Caenorhabditis elegans: one gene and its partners. The protein of the gene in region 2 interacts with the protein of the main gene of each other region in a pairwise test. Each region holds a gene or a part of one and is shown on either strand. Other genes may lie near its edges.

Region 1 (4,893 bases), on a different chromosome or scaffold from region 2:
GCATGTCATCTGTTATTTCATAATAATCTGGCATGCATCTTTGAAATTAGAAAATTTTCATATTTTAACAAGATATTGACGAGCCTTCTCGTATTTTTTCCGATGGGTCTCGCCGCACAAAAAGTGTATGGTAAATAGGTTTAAACCTAGGTTTTTTTTCAATTTTTTGCTGCTACGCTTTTCTTGTATTTTCAAGAAAAAATCACTTAGTTTTTAGCGAAGTTTGTCGTTTTCTACTCATTTTCCTGTTTAAAATTGTTTTAGATCAGTTTTTTCCATAGTACAATTAACATTTATGATCAAAAATGCATGTTTTACACGAAGAAGGATATTAAAAAAATTTAACAGAAAAATGCAAAGTTAATAAGAAAATTAGCAAAAAACGAAGTAATGTTTTTAAAAAAGGAATGAAGCAGCCGAAAAAGTTAAAGAAAAGTACCATAAACTTTTTGCGCCTCGATGCCCATCTGAATAACTCCGTGTGCCTTTAAGAAGGTATATTAAAATTTAGTGATATCACATATATACAGAACTGAATTTAATAGTCAAAAAAGGTATTATAGATGAAAAACTCGCGGACAAAAAATTTACAAAACAAGTTATTTTTTAATGAAAAACATATTTTATAAGTTTATCTCGACAATAACAAACAAAAAACAAAACAAAACAATGAAACTATTACTAAAAAACATTGCAAATGTTACATGAGTTGACAAATAACACATTGTGCAGAGTCGTAGCGAAAGACGATCAGCGAATTCTGCGAAAACTAAACTTCAGAATAAAATAAAGTATATGGAAAAACCTACTAGAAAAGATCGTGTGATGGTCCTGGAGAGTCTTTATCTACATTCTCATTGTCGACTTCTGGAGTATTTTTCAGCGAGTTTTTACATTTTTTATATCTCCGCGGTTTCCCAATATTTCCGATGATGGAAGAATGTGCTGTAATTACACATTGAATATCAATATTTCATATCTGTCTAATACCTCCGAAGCACTTTTGGAAAAGATCGAAAATCGCCACTTCATCAAATTCGATATTGAACACTCTGAAATAATCGTGTTTTATATAATTTATTGAACAATTGACGGCTTACTTCTGAATATTAAACCCATCACACCTCACTTCTGGATGCATTTTTTGATAGTGATACTTCATTTGGGGATGTGTACTGCAAGAGTATTCACATGTGCGACAAACGAGACACTTTTCATTTTCATGAGTCATTGCATGATCCAGAAGTCGTTGTTTGCCGTATCGAAGTTTCCACGAGAGAATTTGCTTACAACCCTGAAAATAGCTTCTTTTTTTTAAATGTTGTCATATTTCCTGAACATCCTCCCTAAGAAATGGCTCAGATCGGAACTTACTTCGAAATTACATTTAATAATATGATTTTTATTCATTTGCTCGTTTCGCTTGTTAAGACGTTGGACAACTGGAACAGCAAACGAAACTTTTTTCGTCGAAGGAATCGGGCTCTCATCCTCTTCATCATCTTCACTGTTTTCCTCATTCTGCTGTTCTGCCTCATCAATTTCTGTTCCAACTTCTTCATAATTTCCGATCAGCACAGTATCCTCATCATCGAAATCATATTGAAACTCTCCCATGGTATTATGCTGCAAAATATTCAATTAAAAACGAAAATCTCATCATGTTGCGACAATTTACAAATTAGAAATAAAGGAAATCTCTTCAATCCTACCTCAGTTGACAGTTCTATGACTGGATGATGATCAACGATATGATTCCCAATCGAAACTGTTCTTTCTGAATCCGTAGCTTTCAAAACCGGCTTCACGTCCTCAGAAATAGAACTCCTGGGCTCAGTGCAAAGACTTTTTGCTGACAAAAACGATTCATTATCTCCATATTCATTAATTGGTTGTTCATATGAGAATCCATCTTTATCCAGTGGAATTGGTTCGGAGTGTGGCACCATGGTTTCATTTGAGCTTTCAATCGATCTAAAAAACAATGAAATTCTCAAGTATATATTTAATTTTACTGGTTTTTGGCATTATTGGAAGTTTGGTCTGTCTTCAATTGAAAATAGAGTAAGTATATCAACGTTGCTTAATTCGCTATACGAACGGTCAGAATTCTCGTCAGAAAAATTCTTACGTGAGCCGTCTTCTTTTCGTTAACTTTGAAACTGTAGGCTCTATTTTGACAGTTTCTTTGAGACTACTCAGAGTACTCAAACGTCTCGAGCTTCTTCTCTTTCCTTCCTGATATGGAACAATGGAACTAGCTGCTTCAGGAAGTGCTCGATAAAATGACGATTCGACCTCCTGACAGTTGGGGATCAAAGTGGTACAGTCATTGGAGGAATCTTCGAATAATTCATAACCTTGATAATTCGAATCAATTTCGGAAATTCTTTCTGTCATGTTCATTGTAAACTTTCGATCCAAACCATTTTGTGGTTTGATGGGAGTTGAAAAGCGGGGAACACCAATGTTTGCGAGAGTTGTGCTCAAAAGAATCGGAGCTTGATCAACATCGGCAACAGTTTGTACCATTTCTTCGAGCAAATCCTGAATCACGTCTTCCCTGGAAGTTTCGGATTGATAAGAGTTCTCCAGGCATTTATCAGTTTTATCGTCATCCGATAGAATCTCCGATAGCTTCTCAGCCAAATTCAATGTGAAATTTTTTGCAGAATTATATTTTGAATGGCCGACAGCAGGAGTTGAAAATCGAGGAAGCTTGTTAGTGGCCAAAGTTGTACTTAGTGGAACAACTGGTTCGATTGTACTTTCAGAATATGTAGAGCTTTCATTAGTTAAGCTCGTGTACATTGAGCCCTCCACAATCCAAAGCTTGGAGCAACCGATATTGTTCTGAAATAATAACTACTATTCAAATTCAAATAGCAAAAGATAAAATTTCCTTATCAAACCAACCAAAAGAGATTCCAACACAACTCCCTGTTGCTGAAGACCTTCTATAGTTTTCCCATAAATGTTCACTTGAATAAAACTGTTCCAGTCATCGCAGGTCATCTGAAAAATATACCATGAAAACATCAAGAATTAAAAAAATGTCCAAAAACATGTTCTCAGGCGTATCGACAACCGTTATTTACATAAATTCATCGCAATGAATAGTGAAGAAATTGAAAGTTTGTTATCATGATGATAAATATCAGGCTTAAAACAGTCTTTATTCATCTACTGGTTAAAATACAAAAAGAACAGGAACTAAAACGCGGAAACGAAACAAAATACTTCCGACAAATCTAGAAATGAAGAAAGACCTGATCGTTGTGAGACCTTTGACAAAAGTATAATGTGCCTTGAAAGTATACGGTAGGAAGAAATATAATACTGTATTTACTTACAATTAGTTTTTAAATTTTGTTGCATACAGCATTTCTTTTTTTGAAATAATTTTTAACATTTACATTTATAAAAACTACATTTTTGACTCTAAATAATTGTGAAAATATCATGTTTGATTCGTCAAAAGAACGATTAATCCAAAAAAAAAAAACACAATTAACTGAAAAAACACTGTATTTTATTTCTGTAAAACTACAAAATAATTAGAACATGATAATAATTGTACATGAGGGTGTCGTCGTGATGCTCATTAAATTCTGTTAAAACTGGATTTGAAATTAGTGATATGAGCAGTTATGGAGCTTACAAAAACATCTTCACATCTTCCGCTTGTACTCTAGAAGAGATTTTGGTTTTCTATAAGCGAATACTTTTGAGTTTTCGACGAGGAGTTCGTTCAGCTTTTCTAACGGGTCCGATCGTTTTCAGTTGATCTGGAATTTGAATAGCATGTAATCTCTAAATAATTAGAATAATGTACCTCCAAAACATTTATTCCATACATCTGAGAATTTGGTATTTTGAAGAGGAATGCTACAAGAGGGGTTTATCAGTTTTCAAACGGTTAGTTTTAAAAAATCTCACTTGAGAATTCCGAAGCCTTCCATTTTCAGATTTGCATGAATCTTTTTGTAGTGATAACGCATTTGTCGAGTTGTCTGGCATGAATATTCACATTTCTGGCAGTCAATGGATTTTTCCTCTTGATGTGATAGTGCATGATCGACCAGTCTAAGTTTTCCATAACGAATCTTCCAGTGAATTTTTCGATTACAGTTCTGAAAAGATTATTGATTGAAACACATTATATCTATGCGACTTTTTATTGAAATTCAGTTTTTTCTCTGACAACGCGGCAAAACAACTCACATCAAAATGGCATTTAATGTTATGAACTTTATTCATTTCTTCTTTTTGTTTGTTGGGACTTTGAACAAGTGGAAATGCAAATGAAACTCGATTTTTCGAAGGAATCGGGCTCTTTTCCTTTTCATCATCTTCACTGATAACCTCATACTGATCTTGATCATCTACTTCAACGATTTCGGCTCCCACCTCTTCATAGTTTTCAATCAACATAGTATCCTCGACGTCAACGAAATTATTTTGAAACACTCCTTCGATGTTATGCTGCAATTTCATTAATGAAAACGGATAACTCAACAAGTTGTGATTATTTCAAATTCGATTTTTAAACATTACATCTCTTGACAGTTCTATGACTGGAGGTTGATCACTGATAATGCTTCCAGTCAAAACTGTTCTTCCAGAATTCAAAACTTTCAGAACTGGCTTCAAGTCGACAGCATTACAAAAACTGGGCTCATCACAATGACTTTTTGCTGATGAAAATGATTCATTATCTCCATATTCATTAATTGGATGTTCGTACGAAAAACCATCTGATTGAATAGCTGATGTAGAAACAGGAAATGTATGTTCAATATTAGGACGCACAGTTTGACTTAAAATTTGAATCGGCCTGAAAATAACGAAATTCTTAAGTAAATAACTATCGGTGATTGGAATCGTTAGGAG
Region 2 (3,167 bases):
AAAAAATCAATAAATCGAAAAACAAATCTCGACAAACTACGGTAAGCGTAAAAGTTCACAATGAACACAATGCGCATGAATTGACGCGCATGCCGTTTTTTGAGTTTTTTTTTGGTTTTATTAGAATTTCAGCATTTTTTGCAGAAAATTTTAAAAAAAACTATTATAATATTTGAAAAGAAACATTTCAAGTACTGAATCAAGCAAAACAGGAAAAAAATATTACAAAAAACTGTTTGCGCGTCAATTAACATGCATTGTGCGCAACAGCGTACTTTCTCGTCTACCATAGTTTTGCCGATTTTTTATTAATTTTTTTGTGGTTTTTAACGAAAATTCTTGTGAGTTGAAATGTATTCTATGATAGAGAAATACAGAAATTAACGAAAAACCTGAAAAGCACACTTTCTGAATCACTGAAAAAGATTCTTTACGTTGGAAATTCAGAACACAAAGAAATATACCGGCTGTTTAAAAACCATATTTTTAATTTCAAAAAAATCTAAACTTTTTCAACATTCATCAACAAAAATAAACAGAACAGTAACAAAATAACAAGTAACAAATTAACAATATTCAAATTGAGAACTTCATCCACGAAGTCTGAGAATTAAACGGAGAGTAGCCTCATTATAGATGTTATAGGCAATCAAAGTACGGTCATCCTCGAGCTGCGATCCTTGATAAATAAGACGCTGTTGATCTGGTGGAATACCTTCCTTATCCTGAATCTTGAGCTTCAAGGTCTCAACAGTATCCGTATTCTAGATTGAAATGGTGATTGTCTTTCCGGTATAGGTTTTCACAAAAACGTCAATTTCTTTTTCTATAGAAACTTCCAAACGAAGAGTACTGCCGTTTTCGAAACTGTTGTCAAAAAGAGTGCTATGATCGCTAAACAAATCTAGGTCCCAGTTTTCTGTAAAAATTAAAGAAATTAGACATATCTTTCAATATTTAAAGTACAAACCCAATAATAGTTTTTGCGTATTTGGGAGGATTCTTAGTTTTTCCCAAATTTTAGCCTTGACACTTGCCATGGTATCGGAGGCGGAAGTGTCAAGTGTGCATGTTCTTCCAGCGTTCTCAACGTAAATTCGGATTCCTTCATGATGCAGTTCTTGCTGAGTCTCGGCAACCTTGACATTCAGATTTCCGATGACCTCCGATGATTCGACACTGATGGGATCTTCGGTCACTTCTTCTGATTCACGAAGCGGTGCTTGCTGAGCCTCTTGAATTTTGACATCTTGGACAGTGTCCTCCATTTCAATGATTTGATTTCCGGTACCTTTGTCTGAAAATGATTTTTTTAATGCAAAACCCAGAAAAAAACAATAAATACCGTAAGAGACAGTGAAAACGACTCCCTGTTTGTCGCGAACTTCAGTTTTCACACTTTTCGGCGCTTCCACTGTGATGTTTTTTCCAGTCGACGTTTTGATGGAGAGCAGCATGATTTTAGCTGGAAAAATTTATAAATTAAATATTATTGAGAGTTTTGCAACAGAAAAACGAGGACAACGGTGAAAAAAGAAGCAAACAAGGGAGAAATCTGGTTTTTGGATAATTTCGAAATGATTTTTCTTAAAAATATGAATAGAATGAATTAATAAATATTATTATCAAGATTTTGATGAATTACGGGCAAAAAGCAAGCTATAAAGAAGAATTGCGTTGAAAAAGTCAATAAATCGAAAAACAAATATTGCAAAACTACGGTAAGCAAAAAAAGTTCACAATGCACAAAGAACACTTTAATTGACGCGCAAATTTTATTGAAATTTCATTTATATTAAAAAACTTTTTTCTAAGTTTTCGATGAAAACATTTCGAGTACTGAATCAAGAAAAACGGAAAAGTCAATTATTTAATGTGTATCGTGTGCAACTGCCTACTTCCTCGTCTACCGTAGTTTCGCTGATTTTTTATTAAATTCTTTGTGGTTTTTTAAATAATAGAAATTCTAATTGAAGAAACATGTGCCAACAGAAATTCTAGCGGGTTGAATAATGCTAAATTGAATTAAATTCGAGTATTTCAAAATATCAGCCTGAAGTATCCAAAAACCTGAAAAACCAATTTTCTGAACCATCGAAATAAAATGTTTAAGTCGGAAATTCAGAACACAGAAGAATTTACTGGAAAAAAACCCTCATATATCATAAATATGGTACCTGTAATATTTTGAGACAGTGTTTTTAATTTAAAAATTAAAAAAAAAACCTTCAACATTTATCAACAATAAAAAACAAAAAAGTAACAAAACAACAGATTAAGAGCAATCAAATTGAGAACTTCACAACCGATGTCTGGAGACTAAATGGATAATATCCTCATCACGAATGTTATAGGCGAACAGAGCACGGTCATTCTCGAGCTGTGCCCGACCGAAAATGAGACGCTGCTGATCTGGTGGAACACCGTGTTTATTCTGAACCTTGAACTTCAATGTCTCAACAGTATCCGTATTCTTGATTGAAATAGGAATCGTCTTTCCGAATAAGGTTTTCACAGAAACCGTCAGTTTTTCTTTTACAGGAACTTCCAAACGGAGAGTACTGCCGTTTTTGATGTTGTAGTCAGAAATAGTACGTTGATCCTTGCACAAAACAATGTTGGAAGGTTCTGTAAAAACTAAAGAAATTAGACAAGCTATCAGTTTCAAAGTACTAACCCAAATATAGTTTCTGCAGATTTGATGGAAAACCTCGTTTTTCCTAGATTTTAGCCTTAACACTTGCAATGGTATCGGAGGCAGCAGTGTCAAGAGTGATCGTTTTTTCACAAGTTTTAACGTAAATTCGCATTCCTTCACGATGCGGTTTTCGCTGAGCCTCGGCAACCTTGAAATTAAGATCCTTGATGGCGTCCGATGCTTCAACAGTGATTGGATCTCCGGTTACTTCTCCTGAAAAAATAAACATATATTGAAATAAAAACCAAAAAAAAAATCGATAAATACCGTAAGAGACTGTGAAAACGACTCCCTGTTTGTCGCGAACTTCAGTTTTCACATTTTTCGGCGCCTCCACTGTGATGGTTTTTCCAGTCGACGTTTTGACGGAGAGCAGCATGGTTTTAGCTGGAAAAGTTGAATTTATTGAGAGTATTGCAACAAAAAACAGTGAAAAAAGAGTAACAATCCACAGAAATTTGATCTTCGG
Region 3 (4,472 bases), on a different chromosome or scaffold from region 2:
ATGTGAAAAGGAAATTGTAGAGTAAACAGTTGTGGAACTGTAATTTCGGATTGCATGTTTGTTCTACACACTTCAGCAAAAAGTGACCCTTTGAATAGGCTGCACATGGTATCAGTTGTGGGAAAATGTATGATAAGAAAGAAATGGAATGGAGGCCATGTCAATAATTTCTTCTTTAAATATAGTTTTCTCAATTTTTGGAATTAAATCCATAATAGAAACGTTTTTAAAAATACAGTTTCAGGTTTTTGGATTAGGAGATCAAAAGCGAAACATCCGAACCGGGTTCAATTTTAAAAGTGAACCTGATCCCGATTGGATACAATTCTTGCGGCAAAAGTGTAGCCATCGTCCACCGGACACTGACACAAACGACCACATATTGTTGAAATGGGGGGGAGTTGGAAGAATGGGAAAGATAGAAGTGAGCAGCATGCTAGAGTGTAGCTAGCGTTAGATATTTGGACAAGACAATGACTATGGCGAACACACAATTTCTCCAACATCATGTGATCATTGACTCTATATTTATTGGGACACAAAAAATAGAGAAAAAAATAGGAAAACAATATTACAAGAGGGAGACAGACAGATGAAAAACAAAAAATTAATGCAACGACTACTTCGTTCTCGGCATTTTGAAGACAGGCTGTAGCTCTTCGTCATCTTGATCTTCTGGCTCGACTGCAGTTTCTTGGAAAATCTTCTTTGGCTGTGTCTTTCGATACGCTTTATCAATGTACAATGGATTCTCTTCGGCGTCTTTAGCATGTTTCAGGATGCTTGCACGAACATCGGTATCTTTTAGGAACTCGGCATTACGAGCAGTTCCGATTTGCTTTGCCAAATACGAATGAAGACTTCCACCACTTGCAGCCACACGTCCATTTGCGCTCTTTCCGTTGATAGGCATATCTGCAGGCTTCCGGAACTCGGGACGAAGCTTGTTATCCTGCATTCGGAGATACTTCTTGATTCTCCATCCAGTGACTTCCTTTTCTTCTCCTTCCTCTCCGCGCGGTTGGAACATTTCGAGGGAAAGAGCTGAAATATGAAGATAAATATTTTTCGAAAAAAATTGTTTAACTTACGAGAAAGAACCATATCTTCTCGAACAACTTCAGATGCGCGATTTCTTTTGAGTGGCTTCGTCACACATGACATAACTCCTCGCTGTGACATCGTTTGATCGTAGTACACGTGAATGGTGCCATCCGAGAGTCCAGCGATAATTTGATTCAATCGCGGGTGCCACTGAATTCGGTGGCACGAAATTCCAGGGTAATCAATTTTATAGACAAGATCAAATGTCATTGGATCAAAGAATTGTAATGTTCCAGGTGTATCCTTGTTGGGTGACGATGTACCAGTGAAGACAACCTCGGCACGAGGGGAGAATCCGCAATCAGTACTACAAAAAATATACTTATGGTGAAGTTTTTAATAGAAGGATACCTTTTGAAAGCGTTTTCGAGACCGGTTTTCACAAGAAGCGGCTCTTTTGGGTTATCTAAGCTCCACATCTTCAGAGTGTCATCAAAACCTCTAGACAGTAATCTCTTTGAATCGGGCGAAAAAGCAATAGAAGTAATCGAGCCGTTGTGAGCTTTGCGTACAAGGTAATTTACATTGACCTAAAATTAAAATATGAGAATAAACAGTGTTTTTGAACTTCAACTTACATATTGCGATCCATACTTCCATGCTTGAACAGATCCGTCATCACAACCGGCGGCAATCCATTTTCCGTCAGGAGAAAACGTGCAAACTTGCGGGCTGACACGTTTTCCATTAGCTCCTTTTGTTTTGATGACTTTCCTGTGCTTGTTGATGCATTTGGTGATTACTTTATGATCATCGAGGTTCCATAGTCGTAGACTTCCATCATCAGAACAAGAGATAAACTCGTTCTTGTTTAGTGGATTGAATTCGACACAGTTAACTGTTGCTGTGTGTCCTTTAGTGATGTTTAAATCAATAATATACTGATCTCCACGAACTGTTTCAGACCATTGTTTTCCTGCTCGATCCAGTAGGCGAATGATAGCTTCTCCACTAGCTACTACAAGAGTTTCGCCGTTCGGAGAGAATGCCAGGGAATTGATAACGTGACTTTCTGCAGGCAGAAGCTCTTTGTCGTATCTCATTGACATGTCCATTTTTTGAAAATCGAACAGCTTCACGTAATAGTCAAGCCCTCCACTGGCAAACCGAACACCAGGAGGCTCAACCCGAAGTGCACTGATGGCTTGAGTGCCATGGCTGATCTTCGCTTCACATGCAGCTGGAATCAGTTTGATGATGGAGATTGCTTCTGTCTCGTCAAAATCGCTATCATCACTATCTTCGGGACCTTCAGCTCGAGACGAGGAGGGGCCCGCTTCAGACTGTTGCATTTGGAATCCTGGAGGTAGATCTGGCATGAAATCTGGAAAAAACAAATTTGAAATAATTAAAACATTATATTCGGCTTACCATCTTCATCATCAGATACAGCTGAAGAAGAAACACCAGATTCTGATTTAGAAGACACCGATACCGACTGCGGAACGTGAGTTGGTTCCTCAGTTCTGGGAGCATTGCTTATCGTTTGCGCGAACATTGCTTGGAGGTCAAAGACGCGTGCCTTCTTTTCAGAATTCTTTTTTGGAGCCGTATTATCATCCATTGTGGTGATCTGAAAGAATTATTGAAATTCGTTTTCATCTATTAGGCGGTAACGGGAAAAAAAGAGTTAATAACGAAAAGAAACGTGTAATACAACCAATATAATGAACTGCCGTGGTACATATATAATATTTTGGCGAAAAAAACTAATAAATTCTGGAAACAGTCCTGGAGTTCTGATGAAAGCTGAAAAATGTTTTCGAATTTCGAACATTGAGGACGTGGCTGACTTGTTTCGGAGACTAGGCCGCGGAGAAAGTGTGGACAATCGGACATTACTTCGCGCCGAGACCCTTCCACAAACCGTATTCGTGTTCCTTGGCACCATTTAAATTCTTTTCCCATTTTCAGTTTTTAAAGTTTTTACGCGTCATCAATTATCGATTTTTGCAGTTTAAATTGTTCAGAAATGTTTTATTCATCATTTTGTCATTGCTCAGAGAAAACGAAATACATTTTCTTCTAAAAAAATCAAATTGAAACCATTGCAACATGTTGCACAATATTCTAATTTTCCATCACAACTCTGTGCAATGTAGAATAACCAGTTCTCTATAAATATCTTTTTTTTCGCATTTTTGAGTTTCTTCCCCGAATTAATTACTTTAACTCTCTTTTCGTGTTTTATATAATACAATTACAGGTAATCGGTGACGTGCAGCACAAATAGAATATGAGCGCTCCCGCAGCAGGTGCTACCGCCGGAGGCGATGACGCCGCCGATAGAAATGTCGAAATGTGGAAAATTAAACGGCTCATCAAAAGTTTGGAATTAGCCAGAGGGTAACTATTTTCGTGAAGCGTTTATTTTACATTTGTTTTTTTACAGAAATGGAACTTCTATGATTTCGCTGATCATTCCACCAAAAGATCAAGTGGCTAGAATCCAGAGAATGTTGGCCGAAGAGTACGGAACGGCATCTAACATCAAGTCTCGTGTCAACAGACTTTCCGTTTTGGGAGCTATCACATCAGTACAGGGAAGATTGAAACTCTACAACAAAGTCCCACCAAATGGATTGGTCGTTTACTGTGGAACAATCATGACCGACGAAGGAAAGGAAAAGAAAGTTAACATTGATTTTGAGCCATTCAAAGCAATCAATACTTCATTGTATCTCTGCGACAACAAATTTCACACCGAAGCTCTTCAAGGTATTTCTAATTTTCATCATGCATCATAAAATATACCATTTTTCAGGTCTTCTTGCTGACGATAACAAGTTCGGATTTATCATTATGGATGGAAACGGTTGTCTGTTCGGAACACTCCAAGGAAACACTCGTGAAGTTCTGCACAAGTTCACTGTCGATCTTCCAAAGAAGCACGGTAGAGGAGGTCAATCTGCTGTCCGTTTTGCTCGTCTCCGTAATGAGAAGCGGCACAATTACGTCCGTAAAGTAGCTGAAAATTCGGTGGAACAATTTATCAAGAACGACAAGGTTACAGTTGCTGGACTTATTCTTGCTGGTAGTGCAGATTTCAAGACAGAGTTGGGACAATCTGATATGTTTGATCAAAGACTTCAAGCCAAGATGATCAAGACTGTCGATATTGCTTATGGTGGTGAAAATGGTTTCAACCAAGCTATTGAACTTGCTGCCGATACGCTGGCAAGTGTTAAGTTCATTCAGGAAAAGAAACTGATTGGTGGATATTTCGATGAAATCAGCCAAGACACTGGAAAATACGTTTTCGGAGTTAAAGACACTCTTGCCGCACTTGAAATGGGAGCTATTGAAACTCTCATCTGCTGGGAGAATTTGGATATTGTTCGGTACAAGATGAAAAATTCACTCGGAGA

What was found.
Region 1: the proteins of F52C6.3 (region 2) and zim-3 interact in a two-hybrid assay, tested with the Caenorhabditis elegans proteins (2 studies listed by BioGRID).
Region 3: the proteins of F52C6.3 (region 2) and gad-1 interact in a two-hybrid assay, tested with the Caenorhabditis elegans proteins (2 studies listed by BioGRID).

What each region holds. Positions count from the first base shown.
Region 1 is NC_003282.8:10,556,843-10,561,735, reverse strand, and holds zim-3 (C2H2-type domain-containing protein), read right to left. Parts: upstream 3,022-4,893; 5' UTR 3,016-3,021; coding exon 2,917-3,015; intron 2,854-2,916; coding exon 2,132-2,853; intron 1,975-2,131; coding exon 1,713-1,974; intron 1,627-1,712; coding exon 1,375-1,626; intron 1,295-1,374; coding exon 1,101-1,294; intron 1,053-1,100; coding exon 991-1,052; intron 946-990; coding exon 810-945; intron 770-809; coding exon 751-769; 3' UTR 526-750; downstream 1-525. Other genes in the region: zim-2 (C2H2-type domain-containing protein), read right to left, coding at 3,712-3,788, 3,836-3,888, 3,940-4,133, 4,225-4,485, 4,558-4,837.
Region 2 is NC_003280.10:1,923,057-1,926,223, reverse strand, and holds F52C6.3 (Ubiquitin-like domain-containing protein), read right to left. Parts: upstream 1,466-3,167; 5' UTR 1,458-1,465; coding exon 1,346-1,457; intron 1,298-1,345; coding exon 971-1,297; intron 920-970; coding exon 765-919; 3' UTR 504-764; downstream 1-503. Other genes in the region: F52C6.4 (Ubiquitin-like domain-containing protein), read right to left, coding at 2,721-2,911, 2,966-3,077.
Region 3 is NC_003283.11:6,430,820-6,435,291, forward strand, and holds gad-1 (Gastrulation defective protein 1), read right to left. Parts: upstream 2,678-4,472; 5' UTR 2,669-2,677; coding exon 2,476-2,668; intron 2,429-2,475; coding exon 1,683-2,428; intron 1,635-1,682; coding exon 1,456-1,634; intron 1,412-1,455; coding exon 1,092-1,411; intron 1,045-1,091; coding exon 620-1,044; 3' UTR 501-619; downstream 1-500. Other genes in the region: erfa-1 (Eukaryotic peptide chain release factor subunit 1), read left to right, coding at 3,341-3,450, 3,497-3,822, 3,869-4,472.